Saccharomyces cerevisiae S288C: one gene and its partner. Changing the gene in region 2 together with the main gene of any one other region gives a genetic interaction. Each region holds a gene or a part of one and is shown on either strand. Other genes may lie near its edges.

Region 1 (9,340 bases), on a different chromosome or scaffold from region 2:
ATGTCACAGTCTTTTGCAATGGTTATTTTATTTCTTAAGAGACGGCTGAAAATGGACCATGTTTATTGTTATATAAATAATTCGTTTGCGCCAAGTCCGCAGCAAAATATTGGTGAACTTTGGATGCAATTCAAGACTAATGATGAGCTTATTGTAAGTTATTGTGCATCCGTAGCGTTTGGTTAAATACCCGGGCGCTGGAATGGTCTAAGAAGAAAACCTACAGTCGATCAAAAATCCCGTACGATATTAAATAGAGTAGTTAACGTACTTGAGCGTTATAAACTCACATTTTCACTCAAGAAGAAAATGGAGAATGGAGACATGGTAAGTGAAAGCATTAAGGAAGAAACACAGTTAGCACGTATTTCATCGAAAGTGTTTGATTACTTTCTATTTGGCATTTAAATATACATGGGAACATAACTAGATAAAATATACGCCATATATAGTACAGCTAGTATTTTCAGATGTCATAAAATATAATTAACGAGTAAAAATTACTTTTTTTGGGATGGGGGTAGGGTTTCTTCTTCTAGGACAACCAACAAATCTGATGCGTCAACACTTTCACCATCCTTAATGAAAACGTCTTTAACTTGACCATCTGCTGGTGAAGAGACAACCATTTCCATTTTCATGGCACTCAAAACAGCAATCGATTCGCCCTTTTTCACCAAAGACCCTTTATGTACTTTAACTTCTATGATAACACCAGCCATTGGTGCACCGATTTGGTGAGTATCGTGGACATCAGCCTTTGGTTTAGCAACAGATTGTATGTTTTGTGACTTGTCTGCAACTCTGATCTTTCTTAATTCACCGTTCAATTCAAAATACACTTCTCTTTGCCCAGTTTTCTTATTTAAGTCACCAACAGCTTGCAATTTGATAATCAAAGTCTTACCTTGTTCGATGGTGACTTCGATTTCTTCATCAGGTTCTGCTGGTGCTAGGAAATTTTTGGTTGGTAGAACTGATAAATCACCGTATGTTTCTCTGATCTTTTGGAAATCTTCATAGACCCTTGGATACATATTGTAAGAAGCAACATCGCATTCATCAATATCACCGAATCTGTTCTGCAAGTCTTCTCTAATTTTTTCGAGATCAAATGGTTCTAATTCTAAACCTGGACGGCACGTCAACTTTCTTCTCTTGTTTCTCAATACATCAGATCTTAATGGTTCTGGGAACCCACCGTATGGTTGACCAATTAAACCTTCAAAAAAGTCCATAACAGAGTCAGGAAAGTCCAAAGAATTAGCTAAACGTCTAATATCGTCGGAAGTCAGTTTGTTAGAAACCATGAATTGAGCTAAATCACCGACAACCTTAGAAGTTGGGGTAACTTTAACAATATCTCCCAGTAGGTAATTGGCTTCTCTGTAAGCTCTTTTAGTTTCAGCCCATTGTTCACCAAGACCCAGTTGTTGAGCTTGGAATAACAAGTTAGTCAATTGACCACCTGGGATTTCATGTTGGTAAACTTCTGGATCTGGTCCCTTCAAGTCGGCCTCGAAACAAGAATACAACAGTCTCATTTCGGCCCAGTATGCATCTAATTCACGAACATGCTCAACGTTAATCCCAGTATCAATGTTACCTTCTAATGAAGCCAACAGTGCATTAATTGATGGTTGGGAAGTTAAGCCCGACATTGAATTGATAGCTACATCGACAACATCAGCACCTGCTAGGGCACATGCAGTCATAGACGCAACAGCAGTACCTGCGGAGTCATGACTGTGAACATGAATTGGTAAATCCGGATATCTGGTTCTTAGGGAGCCAATTAATAATTTGGCAGCGGCCGGTTTCATAGTACCTGCCATATCCTTAATACCCAAGATATGTGTACCCATTTGAACTATTTTTTCAACAACTTCTAGGTAGTAGTCTAAGTTGTATTTCTTACCTGGCTGAAGCATGTCACCAGAGTAACAAACAGTAGCTTCGACAACACCACCGGCCTTCTTGACAGCATTCACACCAACTTTTAATTGTTCTAAATCATTCAAGGCATCAAAAACTCTAAATATATCAACACCATTATCCTTGGCTTGCTTGACAAAATGGTCAATAGCATTGTCAGGTAATGAAGAGTAAGCCACACCGTTGGCACCACGTAATAACATTTGGAATGGAATATTAGGCACCAGAGATCTTAATTTTCTCAGACGTTCCCATGGATCCTCATGCAAGAATCTCATTGCAACGTCGAATGTAGCACCACCCCAACATTCTAAAGCGAAAGCACCTGCAAGGGCATGTGCGGTTGTTGGAGCGATTGTAGCCAAATCGTGGGTTCTGACTCTTGTTGCAAGTAGAGATTGATGAGCGTCTCTCCAGGTGGTGTCCATCAGTAGAGTACCATTGAACTGTCTGACTTGCTTGGCAAATTCAGATGGTCCCTTTTCCAGTAGCACTTGTCTCCATCCGGATGGTGGTGCAGACTTTGTAACGTTGATGACATTGCCCTGAGCATCGTGCAAATGGGGGACACTTGGATTTGATTTTAGTTTTGGCAAGCCAATTTGACCCTTAATAGAAGAACCGTTAACTGCCAAGTCTGCCAAATAGTGTAACAGTTTTTGCGCTCTGTTTTGTGACGATACCATTTGGAACAGTTGTGGGGTGTCGTCAATAAAAGTCGTCCAGTATGTACCCTCAATAAAAACTGGATTGGTCAAAAGAGTCAATAGGAAGGGAATGTTGGTCTTAACACCTCTGATTCTGAATTCGATCAGGGCACGAATCATCTTCCTACGGACGATTTCATAAGTAGAACCAGAGCATGAACATTTGACCAGCATTGAGTCGTAGTGAGGCGAGATAGTAGCACCTGCATAAGCGTTACCACCGTCCAATCTCACACCATTACCACCGGCAGAACGATAGACCTCCAGGCGACCGGTATCCGGTTGGAAATTCTTAGAGGGATCTTCAGTGGTAATACGACATTGGATGGAAAACCCACGGGTGGTGATTTTATCCTGTAATAGACCTAGTTGAGTCAAAGTGGCACCTGCGGCAATCTGGATTTGGGCAGAAACAATGTCAATACCGGTGATTTCTTCAGTGATGGTATGCTCCACTTGAATTCTTGGATTAATTTCAATGAAATAGTGTCTGTTTTGGTTGTCAACCAAGAATTCGGCGGTACCTGCGTTTCTGTAACCACATACCTTAGCTAATTTAACAGCATCTGTCAAAATAGCGTCACGAACTTCACGGGGCAAAGTCTTTGCTGGAGCGACTTCGACAACTTTTTGGTGTCTTCTTTGCACAGAACAGTCTCTTTCGAAAAGATGAACCACGTTTCCGTGGTTATCAGCCAACAATTGAACTTCAATATGCTTTGGCTTGTCCAAGAATCTTTCCACAAAGCAGGTACCATTACCGAAGGCAGTACGGGCTTCGGAGGTAGCACGTTGAAAGGCATCTGCCACGTCGTCACCTTCTCTAACGACTCTCATACCTCTACCACCACCACCAAAGGCGGCCTTAATGATCACCGGGTAGCCGTATTCATTAACGAAGTCAAGTGCCTCTTGCACAGTTTCGATAGGTCCTGGAGTACCGGGAACGGTAGGAACGTTAGCTCTTGCTGCCAAGTGTCTGGCAGAGACTTTGTCACCCACAGAGTCAATAACTTCAGCTGGAGGGCCGATCCAAGTGATACCGGCCTTCACTACTTTGTCGGCAAATTCCGAATTTTCAGACAAGAACCCATAACCTGGATGGATGAAATCCACCTTATGCTTCTTTGCAATTTCGATGATCTCGTCCATTGCCAAGTAAGCACCCACAGGTGTATACTGGCCCTCCTCCCCGATAACATACGCTTCGTCCGCCTTCAACCTGTGCATTGAAAGACGGTCCTCATGGGAGTATATGGCGATGGTTCTCATAGACAGCTCATGAGCAGATCTAAAAATTCTAATCGGAATTTCACCTCTATTGGCGACCAAGATCTTATTCTTTTCGCCGAGCAAACTGAAATTGTCCCTAAGACCGGCCAATTTCTTGCTACTGCTCATATTTTATTTTGTTCTCTATGTCCCTTATTTTCTCTCCTAGTAACTGTCCTTTATTTTGCAATATAGTAATTGGCAAAAAAATCAAACTCAAATGACGGGCCACAGATAGTAAGCTACAAGAGTTTGGAAGAAAAGAGGGGCTTGTTTATGTATGTAATCAAGTAAGGATACCGAAAGTAAGAGAAAAGAAAAAAGGACTAAAAATCACAGAAACACAATAGGAAATATCCGATGGGGAGTACTTCTTACTTAACACTCCCTGCGCCAATTCTGACTCTTATAATAAATAGCTCGAGACGTAACTGCCAAAATTGTAAAAAAAAAATGAAAAACTATTAGAAAATTAATTGCGAAAAAAAAAAGGTTAGTCATATGTGCCTTTGCGGCGTCTTCCGCAGGAAGGACCCCTCTCTGCCAATCACAGAAGAGCTGGCTGTGCCTGTGCGGTACGCTATCAGCAGCTGCGTCGGGTAAGGGACACGTCGTTAGTGACAATCGTGGTTAGTTTTCGTACAGAAAGATGACCTTAATTGATAATTAAAGTATAGAAATGTCGTATAGTATATTTTTCCCTTGCATGGAAAAAACTGGGATAATGTGATGATTCTCATTAACAGATTTACACTGGTATTGATACTCATTTTGTTTCTGCTTCCTGTAGTACATAAAAAGATCTTGTAAATATTACGATACTCGTTAAAATTTTCTTGAACGTAATGTCGTACAATTCTTGTTTGAGGGGTCGTTACGTACATCTCCAGGAACTGATTGGCAGACTTTGTAAATGGAGGATTTTCCTTTTCAAATATCCAAAATATAGGAAAAGTCCGACTACAATACATATGAGATTGGTGATGTAATAGCCGTCACGCAGGATGGTCACGGTGCCATTCAAAAGCTCGGTGCACGCTTGCATGCTGCCGCCGTGAGTTACGTATACTTTATTTGTGCCAGGAATAGTGCACTGATACACGGTGAAGTAGTTGATCATGGACATAATGATTAACCGCGGCCATGTCCCACCGAAGTTGCTGAGGGTATTTAACAATGTCATATATGTGCCACCCAGCACGGGGTCTGCAACTCTTGTATGGAAGGCCGATATTCCAATGAACTGGACAGTATTCATGAAGGAACCTAAGAGGTGCTGGAATATCACGAGACAAAAATAACCCGTGGATATTTCACCATCCTTGGGGAATTGCTTCACCACGTAACTTCCCAAGACCGCGGCTGCCAGACGGCCCAAAAAGCCCCACAACCATGGTGTTAAAACGCCGGCATCCCCAACTAAGAACTTGATGACCTTGTTGGTGCCCGTGCTGTTTCTTAATCTTCTATTGTCACGAATCATGGGGTCCTTGTCGGAGCTCCATTTAACAACATAGTACCCAAATATGATTTCGAACGGCAGGTCTATGAGTACTGTCACAGCCAAGTCTTCTCTTTTGAAGCCTTGCTCTAGTAGTTTCAGGTTTGTGGCGGCTTCGTTGCATTGAAAGGCAAATTTCGAAATCATGTGAATGAAGGCTAGGCTTCTTACGGACTTCAATTTCAACACTTTTATAAAGCAGCGGTAAATGTACTTTATACTGCTTGTATTCTGAGTTGACACCACATCACCGTCGTCATACTCAATACTTATCGGCTTTGACCCTCCGTCACTTGTATTTATGGGCTCCACTTTGGGCAAATACTCTACGTAGGGTTTTTCCTTGGTGCAAAAGATGATATATATGGTTATTACAATGTAAAGCATGCCCGAGAATTTCATGTACCCACCAAGACTAATGAACCCGTGATCCAGTGGGATGTTTCTGAAATACTTATTGGCGAAATCAGAGGAATTCAACGACAGGAAAATGGTAAATGACATAAAATAACCAATATTCAAACCTATTGTTTGCGCGGTAGATGCATATGATAGGGATTCTTTGGACAAAATCGTCAACGCCCAACCATCAACTGCGATGTCTTGAGTGGCACACAGAAAAACTAACAGGCCAAACCACCACGTCAAATTTTTTATACTGACACTGTGTAAAGTGCCATTACCGCGATTATGGAACGCATCGTCGACACCATCGAAGATTATGCCTTGTGATATGCACCACCCTAATGCCCATAGCACAAATCCACTAACAAATTGTACTGGAATGATCCATGATCTTCTTCTACCGATGCGCTTGTTGTACAGTGAGTCTACTATTGGTGACCATATGATCTTTAAAGAATATGGATATGTAGCCATAGAGAAAATTCCCAGTGATGTAAACGAGGTCTCCTTTGCTAAAGATTTCAGTAGAAACGGTACGGTACCGAAGGCCAATCCTACAGGTATGCCTTGAGCCAAATATAACATAATTAAAAGATAAAATTGCGGCAAATCATGCTTGGCTAGTGACCCGCTCTTTCGCTTAGGTTCCATGCCTACTTTTGTTTTATCCCCCTATAACTATGGTATATTATACTGCCTCACCAAACGTTTAGGTCTTGCTTCTGCTTCCCACAGTAGCTTACGCATTATAGCCGATTTATTTTTCACTTATTTTCGCATGCCAGAGTATCTTTATTTTCTTTCTTTCATTCAGCCTGTCGTCGAAAAGAAAAAAAAGAAAATAAATATGTGCGTATTCTAACCATGAAACAGGAACTCATTCAATGTGCACAGTACTTATCTCATTCAATTTTGTAAAAACAAAATATATACATTGTATGTATGTGTGTATTTGCAGTTATATATCTACTAATAACCAGTACGCCATACATGTCTTGATTAGCAAAATATTATTTATGTTTTTCTCATTAGTACTATTTCCGCGAAGAGGGTAGAAAGTGTAGGGTACAGGGAAAAAAGTTCCCTATCTCCTTCTTTCTCTCCTTCCTATTGGATTGAAGTTTATTTATTCAATTGACAAGACTTCTTTGACAGCTTTAACGATGGTTGGAGTATCAGGGAAAGCGAAATCTTCTAATTCTTTAGCGTAAGGTGTTGGAACATCGGCACCAGTAACTCTTTGGATTGGAGCATCCAAGTAATCAAAGGCTTCAGACTCCATAACTTGGGCGACAATTTCAGCACCAACACCAAATGATGGGAAAGTGGATTCAACAGTAATCAAGTGGTTTGTCTTCTTGACAGTTTTGATGATAGCTTCAGTATCTAAAGGTCTAATAGAACGCAAGTTGATAACTTCTGCAGAGACACCATATTTCTTTTGTAGAATTTCAGCGGCTTCCAAAGAAAACTGAACGTTTCTTGTGTACGTAACAATGGAAATATCGGTACCTTCTCTTTCGATCTTAGCCTTGTATGGCAAGGTGAACTCAGGGGATAAAGCTTCTTCTGAGATTTCAAAAGATTCACCGTACAACAATTCGTTCTCTAAAAATACAACAGGGTTTGGATCTCTGATGGCGGCCTTTAACAAACCCCTAGCATCTTCAGCAGAATAAGGGACAAGGACCTTTAACCCTGGAATGGAACCGTACCAAGGAGAAAAGTCCTGTGAATGTTGAGCACCAACACCCACTGCAGCACCATTAGGACCTCTGAAGACCATTTGACATTTTTGAGTACCACCAGACATGTAGTGAGTCTTTGCAGCGGAATTGACAACATGATCGATAGCTTGCATAGAGAAATTGAACGACATAAACTCTACAATTGGCTTCAAACCCTTCAAAGCGGCACCAACGGCCAAACCTGTGAACCCGTATTCGGTAATAGGTGTGTCAACCACACGACGTTCACCGAACCTGTCCAATAAACCCTTTGACACCTTATAAGCCCCGTTATATTGTGCAACTTCTTCACCAATAAGGAAGACATCATCATCACGGTCCAATTCTTCCGCCATGGCACTATTCAAGGCCTCTCTGACGGTCATCGTCTTTGTTGATGAGAATCTCAATGCTGCTGCTGCTGCAGAGGGTCTTACAAAAGAAGTTGGGGCACGACGTGCAACATTTCTGGCCAATGATGTTGGCAGTCTGGAAAACATGTTGAACAAAATTATTGCAAAAGTAAAAGAACTTACTAAACTGCGATCGATTATCAATGAACAAACACAGGAACTGTTATGAGGGAGGCGGAATTTAACGTCCGAGTGTGTAAATGATACTAAATTAGTCTAACAAAAGGAAGAAACTTGACAGAGATAATATCAAGAGTCGCTGTTGCAATCGTTAACCTGTATATGTAGATACACCTCTTTTTATTGCAAACGTGCAAACGCATGACTTTTAATGACGGAGAACTTCTTAGTTGAAGACTCGTCTCTTTTGCATGTTCTCCCACTTCGAAGTCTCGGAAAACAGACCCCGGAAACAGCCGCGACGAAAAAGAATCAGCTTAGGCATGATAAATACTGTGGTTTCATTAGATAGATAAAATACATAAGTATTGGCGTATATAAACGGGTGCCAGATAGAAGCTTTCAGAGAGCATAAAATTGTACAGGATACTGCCTACAACTTACTCTTATTTCTGCTGCTCTTAGCAAAAGTTTCTGCGATAACTCTTCTCTGGATTTTACCTGTAGCGGTTTTTGGTAGCTTATCAACAAAGTACACCTTGGTTGGAATTTTGAAAGAGGCTAGGTGCTTCTTTAAGAAGTTCACCAGTTCTTCGTAGGTCATTTTTTCTCCCTTCTTCAAAACAATGGCGGCTTGAACTACTTGGCCGTACATATCGTCGGGAACACCAAATGCAACGGCTTCATCGATCTTTGGATGCGATAGCATAATGCCGTCGAGCTCAATGGGTGAAATCTTTTCACCACCCCTGTTGATAAGCTCTTTGATTCTGCCTGTAAGGACCAAAAACCCCTCAGGGTCGAAATAACCTTGGTCACCGGTTCTGAAATAGTTCTCTCTCTTGGTGAAGTTCTCCTTGTTAGCTTTTGGATTATTAGCATACCCCAAAGTGACGTTTTCGCCTCTGATGGAAACTTCGCCGACTTTGCCCGGGGGCAAGACATTGTCATTGTCATCTAGAATGACGACGGTGACTCCTTGTGGCTGGCCCACAGTACCAGGCTTTCTCTTTCCTGGAGGCAGATTGTTTGAGGTCATTTGATGTGATGCTTCGGTCATCGCATAGGCCTCCAAGACAGGTGCATTGAATTCCTTCTCCAGCTTATGGAACGTTGCTGGAGCCAAAGCAGAAGAACACGATCTGATGAATCTAATGTGTGGGAAAGGGTTTGGTTTGGGCATGTTCAGCATAATCATGCTTATTGTGGGAACGCAACTGAACCAATTACAGTTGTACTTAACAAATTGGTCCCAGAATA
Region 2 (7,318 bases):
AACATATCACTCAGGCGATGAAATCCCGCTATTGGTGAACCGCTTGACTCCATCAATTTACTTTCAGCATCAAGATGAGGAAGGTAACGATGTTTCAGGCGATAAAGAACATTTTCTTTACTCCTATGATTACTATAATAAGAGGTTTCATTTTTGTAGACCAGAGCACGTTGAGAAACAGCCTGAGTCGTTAGGTTCAGTCATATTTGGTGACAGAATTTACAATTCCCCATTCCAATTGAACATGTTAGAGGAGAAAGAGTGTGTTGCACTTTGTAAAAGCACGATTCCGGGAAAAGATGCCAAATTTATCAACACCCTTATTAAAAGTGGATTTTTCCAAAACTGGCTCGTGGATGGATTGCCAGCAGCAAGAAAGGCTTATGATAGCAGAACAAAAACAAACTATTACGGCACAGGATTTGAGTTAGGTTTTACAGATGTTAAGCAAACCGTTGACGGTAAAGCAGTTCCCAGTACGATGGAAGAGCTTACTTCAGAGGCCTCAAATGAGGATGTTATATTGGATGCTCGACTGCCCAAGAATGTTAAGCCTAATTTAGTTAAAACGGTAGAATTACCTTACTTTGTAAATCATTTTGACATTGAAGTGGAATTTCACGATCGTGGAAACGATAATTACCGAGTTGTTGGTGTCATTGTAAACCCTGTATCTATCGAAAGATCGTCACCTGGCGCGTGTTCTACAACGGGAAAACCTCTGATACTAGACGAGGATAAGGATAACGAGGTTTACTTCACTTATTCTGTTAAATTTGTTGCCTCTGATACAGTGTGGGCTACGAGATGGGATAAGTATCTACATATTTATGACCCGCAGATACAATGGTTTTCATTAATAAATTTTTCCGTTATTGTTATTTTGTTGTCATCTGTTGTAATGCATTCTCTATTACGGGCTTTGAAAAGCGATCTCGCTCGTTATAACGAACTAAACTTGGATAATGAATTCCATGAAGATTCTGGCTGGAAATTGGGCCATGGTGACGTATTTAGAACCCCATCTAAGTCGATGCTGCTATCCATTCTTGTGGGATCCGGTATGCAGTTATTTTTGATGGTCATGTGTAGCATTTTTTTTGCCGCAGTAGGTCTTGTGTCGCCTGTTTCCAGAGGATCCCTGCCAACTGTAATGTTTGTTCTTTATGCATTATTTGGATTTGTAGGATCCTACGCCTCAATGGGTGTCTACAAATTTTTTCGTGGACCCTATTGGAAGGCGAATATGATATTAACGCCAATATTACTTCCTGGAGCAATTTTTTTACTGATTGTAATAATGAACTTCTTTTTGTTATTTGCACATTCTTCAGGTGTCATCCCAGCGAGAAGCCTATTCTTTATCATTCTTCTATGGTTTTTAGTTTCTGTTCCGTTGTCGTTTGCGGGTTCAATTGTTGCTCATAAGCAGTGTAATTGGGATGAGCATCCAACTAAAACAAACCAAATCGCCAGACAGATTCCATATCAACCCTGGTACTTGAGAACAGCACAAGCAACCTTAATCGCTGGAATTTTCAGTTTCGGATCAATAGCGGTTGAGCTGTACTTCATTTACTCCAGTTTATGGTTCAACAAAATTTTTTATATGTTTGGATTTTTACTCTTTTCATTCTTATTGTTGACCTTGACAACCTCATTAGTTACCATCTTGATCACATATTACTCGTTATGTCTAGAAAACTGGCTATGGCAATGGAGAAGTTTTATTATTGGTGGTTTAGGATGTTCAATCTATACGTTCATCCACTCCATACTATTTACTAAGTTCAAGCTTGGTGGAGTTATTACTGTCGTGCTCTATCTCGGATATTCACTTATTATATCTGCATTATGTTGTGTCGTCACTGGAGCGATTGGTTTTTTTAGTAGTATGTTTTTTATTAGGAAGATATACTCTGCCATTAAAGTTGAGTGATTTCGTTATTCTCTCCACTAAAGTAAAAGAAGTGAATACGTTAGTTTTATTTTTTTTTTTTTTTTTAATTTTTTGAGAAGTGTTTTACTTCGCAATGCATTTATATCCTATATGTCCTGGCAAACTTTTTGATAAATTGGAATGCAAGTTTTAACGCGTTTTTATGTAGCACTAATACACTGTATTGAAGATTTTTTTTTCTTTCACAATTTGGAAACGATTATATTGGATATATATTAGAAGTTTTCCTCGAGGATATAAGAAATCCGCAAAAGGGAATCAACAATTCTATATAACAACATTATTCTCTCTCCGTTTATATTTTATATTAAATTCATTATCTTATTAAATTATCAATTCTTGCACTTCAGCTTCCATTAAATCCGATAATTGTTATGAAGTCTTCTAACAACTCATTCGACATTAATAATAAAGAATATTATTCGATATATTTATTTATTTTTATTCCGGCAATAATAAATCTGAAAACGAGTTACTCTTTCAAATGACATGATAGTTATCAAATCCAAATTCTTTAGGAGAGTGTGTAATTAGGTGAAATATTAATGGTTAACTTTCTGTTGTATTACGGGCTCGAGTAATACCGGAGTGTCTTGACAATCCTAATATAAACAGTCTTAGGGAAGTAACCAGTTGTCAAAACAGTTTATCAGATTAATTCACGGAATGTTACTTATCTTATATATTATATAAAATATGAATCATACTAAGTGGTGGAAGCGCGGAATCTCGGATCTAAACTAATTGTTCAAGCATTTATACGTTTGGGTAGTTCAGCTAGGGAAGGCCGTGTTTTATCTCATGTTGTTCGTTTTGTTATAAGGTTGTTTCATATGTGTTTTATGAACGTTTAGGATGACGTATTGTCATACTGACATATCTCATTTTGAGATACAACACTTTCGATCCAAATTGGTCTCTTGGCCCAGTTGGTTAAGGCACCGTGCTAATAACGCGGGGATCAGCGGTTCGATCCCGCTAGAGACCATTTTTATTTTTTCTCCTCTATTGTTAAAAATAGCTCTTTACTATCATAAACTTTTACATCAAAAGCTCAATAAGGCTAATTGTTGTGGAAAGACGCAGTTTGGTGAAGAGAACACTTCCTGTTTTTGTTTTCTACATATACATAAAGCCTATTGTAAGCGCTTCACTCCAGTTCTGAAGTAATAATCAAACCAATCAGGAGCAATATGAGGATTGTTATAAAACTCATCTCTTTCTATTCCTACAATGTTGCTCCCCTTATAGTGCAGAAGTATTTTCGCGCATGCAGAACCAGCCTGCCAGTAATTTTTAGGAAACTGGATTTTGGACGTATCCATTTTTAACTTGAATAAATTCCTTATTACTGTTTCATACGCCTCTTCAATGTTTACTATAATGATATTTTCTCTCAGTGGCCTTCTCAAGTCGATAGGAAGTGACTCTACAATATTTTTGACAAGATTTATTACCGGGGTTTCATCTACTTCACAATTTTTAGAGTTGTATTCTTCGTCAAAAAATATTGGCATGTAGAGACTGCCCGGGAGAGGAATTCTTGACTCAACCTGTCTTTTGCCTCGTTTTGAGTATTTTATGAACTGTTGCAAAGGTCTAAGGTCGAAAATAGGTACGCATGTAGTATAATTGGTACCTATATCTATAACTATGGCATTCCTTGTATTACAGGATAAGCAGTGCACAATGGCCCTGGGGACAAACGAAACGTGAGCGCAGTCAAATTCCTTAAACAAGATGCTACAAATAATTCTTTTCTCTACTACAGAAATGAAGATATCTTCTAGTATCAACACTTGTACTTCTCGATTTCCCAAGATGTTGCAAATTTGGAAGTAATGTTCAAATATTTTTTTCAATTCTTCCCTATTTTTTTCATTAATACTACCTGTTTTCCAGGCGATAATTTCTTGTGGACACGCATCAGCACTTCTTCCAATTTCGATTCTGTTAGCTCCCAAATAGACTATCACAATAGTATTCGACATTTCCTCATAGGGTTTCCTGGGTAGATTTTTTTTATCATTTCACAGTGTCGAATATTGTAGTATTTGTACCTCTTTTGTTTATGTCTCTCGGCTACAATAGAAGTTCCGACAATTAGATTCTAACAAAAAAGAGAACTGTTTTTGAGGTCTTTATGCCCCCAAAACGAAGTTTATAATCAAACAACAGATTTACTTCATATCAAAATACCCATCACAAAGTACAACAATCTACCATGGGTGCCGTAATTTCTTTGCCAGTTAGCATGGCGGGCTCATTCGTGGCGTCCTGTTTTGGAGGTTGCTGCTCAAACTTGGTGACTAAGACTGCATCTTCCCTAGGATCTTCTTCTTTAGGGACAAGACTTCTGTACGCCGTTTGGCTTTTACTTAACTCATTGATATCATGGGTGTCCTATTCTGCGAACAAATCAATCCTATGGCCAGGGAAGACATGTACTGGGACTGGGGAATGTGGATTTTTTACAGTTCATAGGTTGAATTTTGCATTGGGATGCTTACATTTGATATTGGCGCTTGTACTAACGGGCGTAAAGTCGACTAATGACGTAAGAGCAGCATTACAGAATTCGTGGTGGAGTTTAAAATTTATACTGTATTTATGTCTCATTGTTTTGTCATTTGTCATCCCCAATGACTTTTATATTTTCTTTTCCAAGTGGGTGTCAGTCCCTAGTGGAGCAATTTTCATCCTGGTTGGGCTTATATTATTAGTAGACTTCGCTCATGAGTGGGCTGAAACGTGTATTAGTCACGTTGAGTCAGAAGATGAAGATTCCTCATTCTGGCAACGATTTTTGGTTTTAGGGACAACTTCAATGTATACCGCATCGATTATCATGACTGTTGTTATGTATGTTATGTTTTGTCATCAACAATGTAACATGAATCAAACAGCGGTAACAGTCAATTTAATATTAACTGTTATAACGCTTGTCTTATCGGTGAATCCTAAGATCCAAGAGGCCAACCCTAAAAGTGGGCTGGCCCAAAGTAGTATGGTTTCTGTTTACTGTACTTATTTGACAATGAGTGCCATGTCTTCCGAACCGGATGACAAAATGTGTAATCCGTTGGTTAGATCTAGTGGAACCCGTAAGTTTAGTATCATTTTGGGCTCTTTATTTACTTTTATTGCGATTGCTTACACCACAACTAGAGCCGCTGCTAATAGTGCTTTTCAAGGCACCAATACTAATGGTGCTATATATCTCGGGAATGATATCGAGTACGAAGGACTAGGTGGACAGACAAGAAATCAGTTGAGGTATGAAGCTATTAAACAAGCTGTAGAAGAAGGATCTTTACCGGAAAGTGCCTTATATGATACCGCTTGGTTAGGGACATCATCTCCTACAGGCGCAATGGATAACCAAAATGATGATGAAAGGACTGGAACCAAGTACAATTACACTCTGTTCCACGTTATATTCTTTCTGGCAACCCAGTGGATTGCAATTTTACTAACAATAAACGTTACCCAGGATGATGTAGGTGATTTTATACCCGTAGGAAGAACATATTTTTATTCTTGGGTAAAAATAGTTAGTGCATGGATATGTTATGCCCTTTACGGTTGGACAGTGGTAGCCCCAGCGATTATGCCCGATAGATTTGATTACGAGAATTACTATTAAATAGACTAACACAAAAAGATTTTCTTATAATGTATGTAACTTTTTTTTAAGTAGCCCCCAGTAGAAACACTAATTTTACTATACTCATGCACTAGTTTCAAGAAGATGAGTAAACCTCCCTCAAAAAAAAATGGATCTTAATTATCTAATTGAGATATCGCTTCTCGAGGATTATTTTAACTATCCTCTATTTATTTGAAATGCCAATTACAGTTATTATCGATCGACCGTTTTCGAAGGATCTCTTTTCTTCTTTTAAAGGTAGAAAACATTCTCTCAACCTTCTTTATGCGATATTCGGAGTTTGCGCCGTGCTTCAAAGATATGGTAAAACAAAATCATTGTGGCTAAAGAAATGTCTGGTGAAAATATCAATAACAAAAGTCAGCATACAGTGATTGTAAAAGAAAGGGATTTGTCTTCGAAACATTTCGAAATATGGATTCTATCGTTAATGTTGTTGAAGACGATGTTAAGTACGCGCAGAGAGTGACTAGCTTCAGCTCACCACAAAATGCAAATGTCAAGGTCTTCACCATTCCCCGGCATTCCTTCACAGCGTTTAGACTGTCGTATGTTTCACCTACAGAGCTTTCAGCATGTTCACAGGTGACTTTGCTAGGTGGTATTCCAAAACAATGGTACGCTGATCAAAATAATCAAGTCTGGAAACTTCTAACTAAAATTTCACTTCGGAAGGTTAGGAAGCAATCTGACATGCTAAGAAGATATGGCTATGGAACAATTTACAAAAAGCGTGTAGGGAAGATCCCAACTGCATTGTACTTAAGAAAGCACTTTACATGGTCCTATGAAGATAATACATCAATTCACAACGGTCATCGTCTTAAAGAAGCGGAAATGGAGATGAAGAGAACTAGGTCAAGTCCTGTGCAGAAAAGTGAATATAAATTAAGTCTACCCAGAAGGTGTAGGAGTTCTTCCGATCAAAACTTCATGCGACAAGAGCTTTTGAAAGAAAAAAAATCAGAGCTTTCTAGAAACAATAGTTTGCCTCTCATCGATACGGCGCAAGCCGTGGATATCCACCCAGTTTTACATGAAGAAGATCAAGAAAATACAAATAAAAGGAATAAATCACTCCTTTCGAATTTGAAACGAAAAGATCTAGGGGAATCAAAAAGCATATCCAGAAAAGATTATTCGCATTTTGATAGAATACCGAGCCCCTCTTCAGCCAGAAGTGTTGGAGAAACAGACTTTAATTATAATAGAGAACCTTCTGAAGATACTTTGAGATATCCCGACAGTATAATTGAAGTAACAAATCGGACAAGCCCCGCCCCAAATAGTATTCTAAGTAGATCAGGACAATTTGTTAACTCGAATGACCTAAGTGATGGCTTTTCAACATCTAATACTATCAATAACGTGGGATTAAATGCAAATGAAAAGATTTTTTTTAATGCTCTACAAAGTATGGAAAAGGAAAACTTGATGCTGTGGAAAACATCCCAGAAATATGGGACTTATCTCGATGAAAGACGTAAAAGTGCGGATGCCTTTCAAAAAAGAGAAAGAGGTTCATGCGTGGACATTGGTAAGTTGCATTCGAGTCATCTTCCGTTTATTAATATCCTACCTCCATGGCCTACCGAACTGACGGAGGAAGAGAGAATTATACACGATAGGCTAGCCTCTAAACATTCTCATCATATAAGAAAACATGTTCACAATGCTCGAAACAAAAC

Evidence for each region. Genes that interact genetically often act in the same process or in processes that back each other up.
Region 1: mutations in TMS1 (region 2) and PYC2 together harm fitness more than expected from each alone (negative genetic interaction), as found in Saccharomyces cerevisiae (2 studies listed by BioGRID).

What each region holds. Positions count from the first base shown.
Region 1 is NC_001134.8:658,207-667,546, forward strand, and holds PYC2 (pyruvate carboxylase 2), read right to left. Parts: upstream 4,044-9,340; coding exon 501-4,043; downstream 1-500. Other genes in the region: ATG12 (Atg12p), read left to right, coding at 1-186; YBR219C (uncharacterized protein), read right to left, coding at 4,293-4,375, 4,797-5,097; YBR220C (uncharacterized protein), read right to left, coding at 4,789-6,471; PDB1 (pyruvate dehydrogenase (acetyl-transferring) subunit E1 beta), read right to left, coding at 6,947-8,047; YBR221W-A (uncharacterized protein), read left to right, coding at 8,332-8,436; PCS60 (Pcs60p), read right to left, coding at 8,514-9,340. UniProt on the Saccharomyces cerevisiae protein: Pyruvate carboxylase catalyzes a 2-step reaction, involving the ATP-dependent carboxylation of the covalently attached biotin in the first step and the transfer of the carboxyl group to pyruvate in the second.
Region 2 is NC_001136.10:663,637-670,954, reverse strand, and holds TMS1 (Tms1p), read left to right. Parts: upstream 1-4,184; coding exon 4,185-5,606; downstream 5,607-7,318. Other genes in the region: TMN2 (Tmn2p), read left to right, coding at 1-1,939; ARP10 (Arp10p), read right to left, coding at 3,097-3,951; SPO71 (Spo71p), read left to right, coding at 6,045-7,318.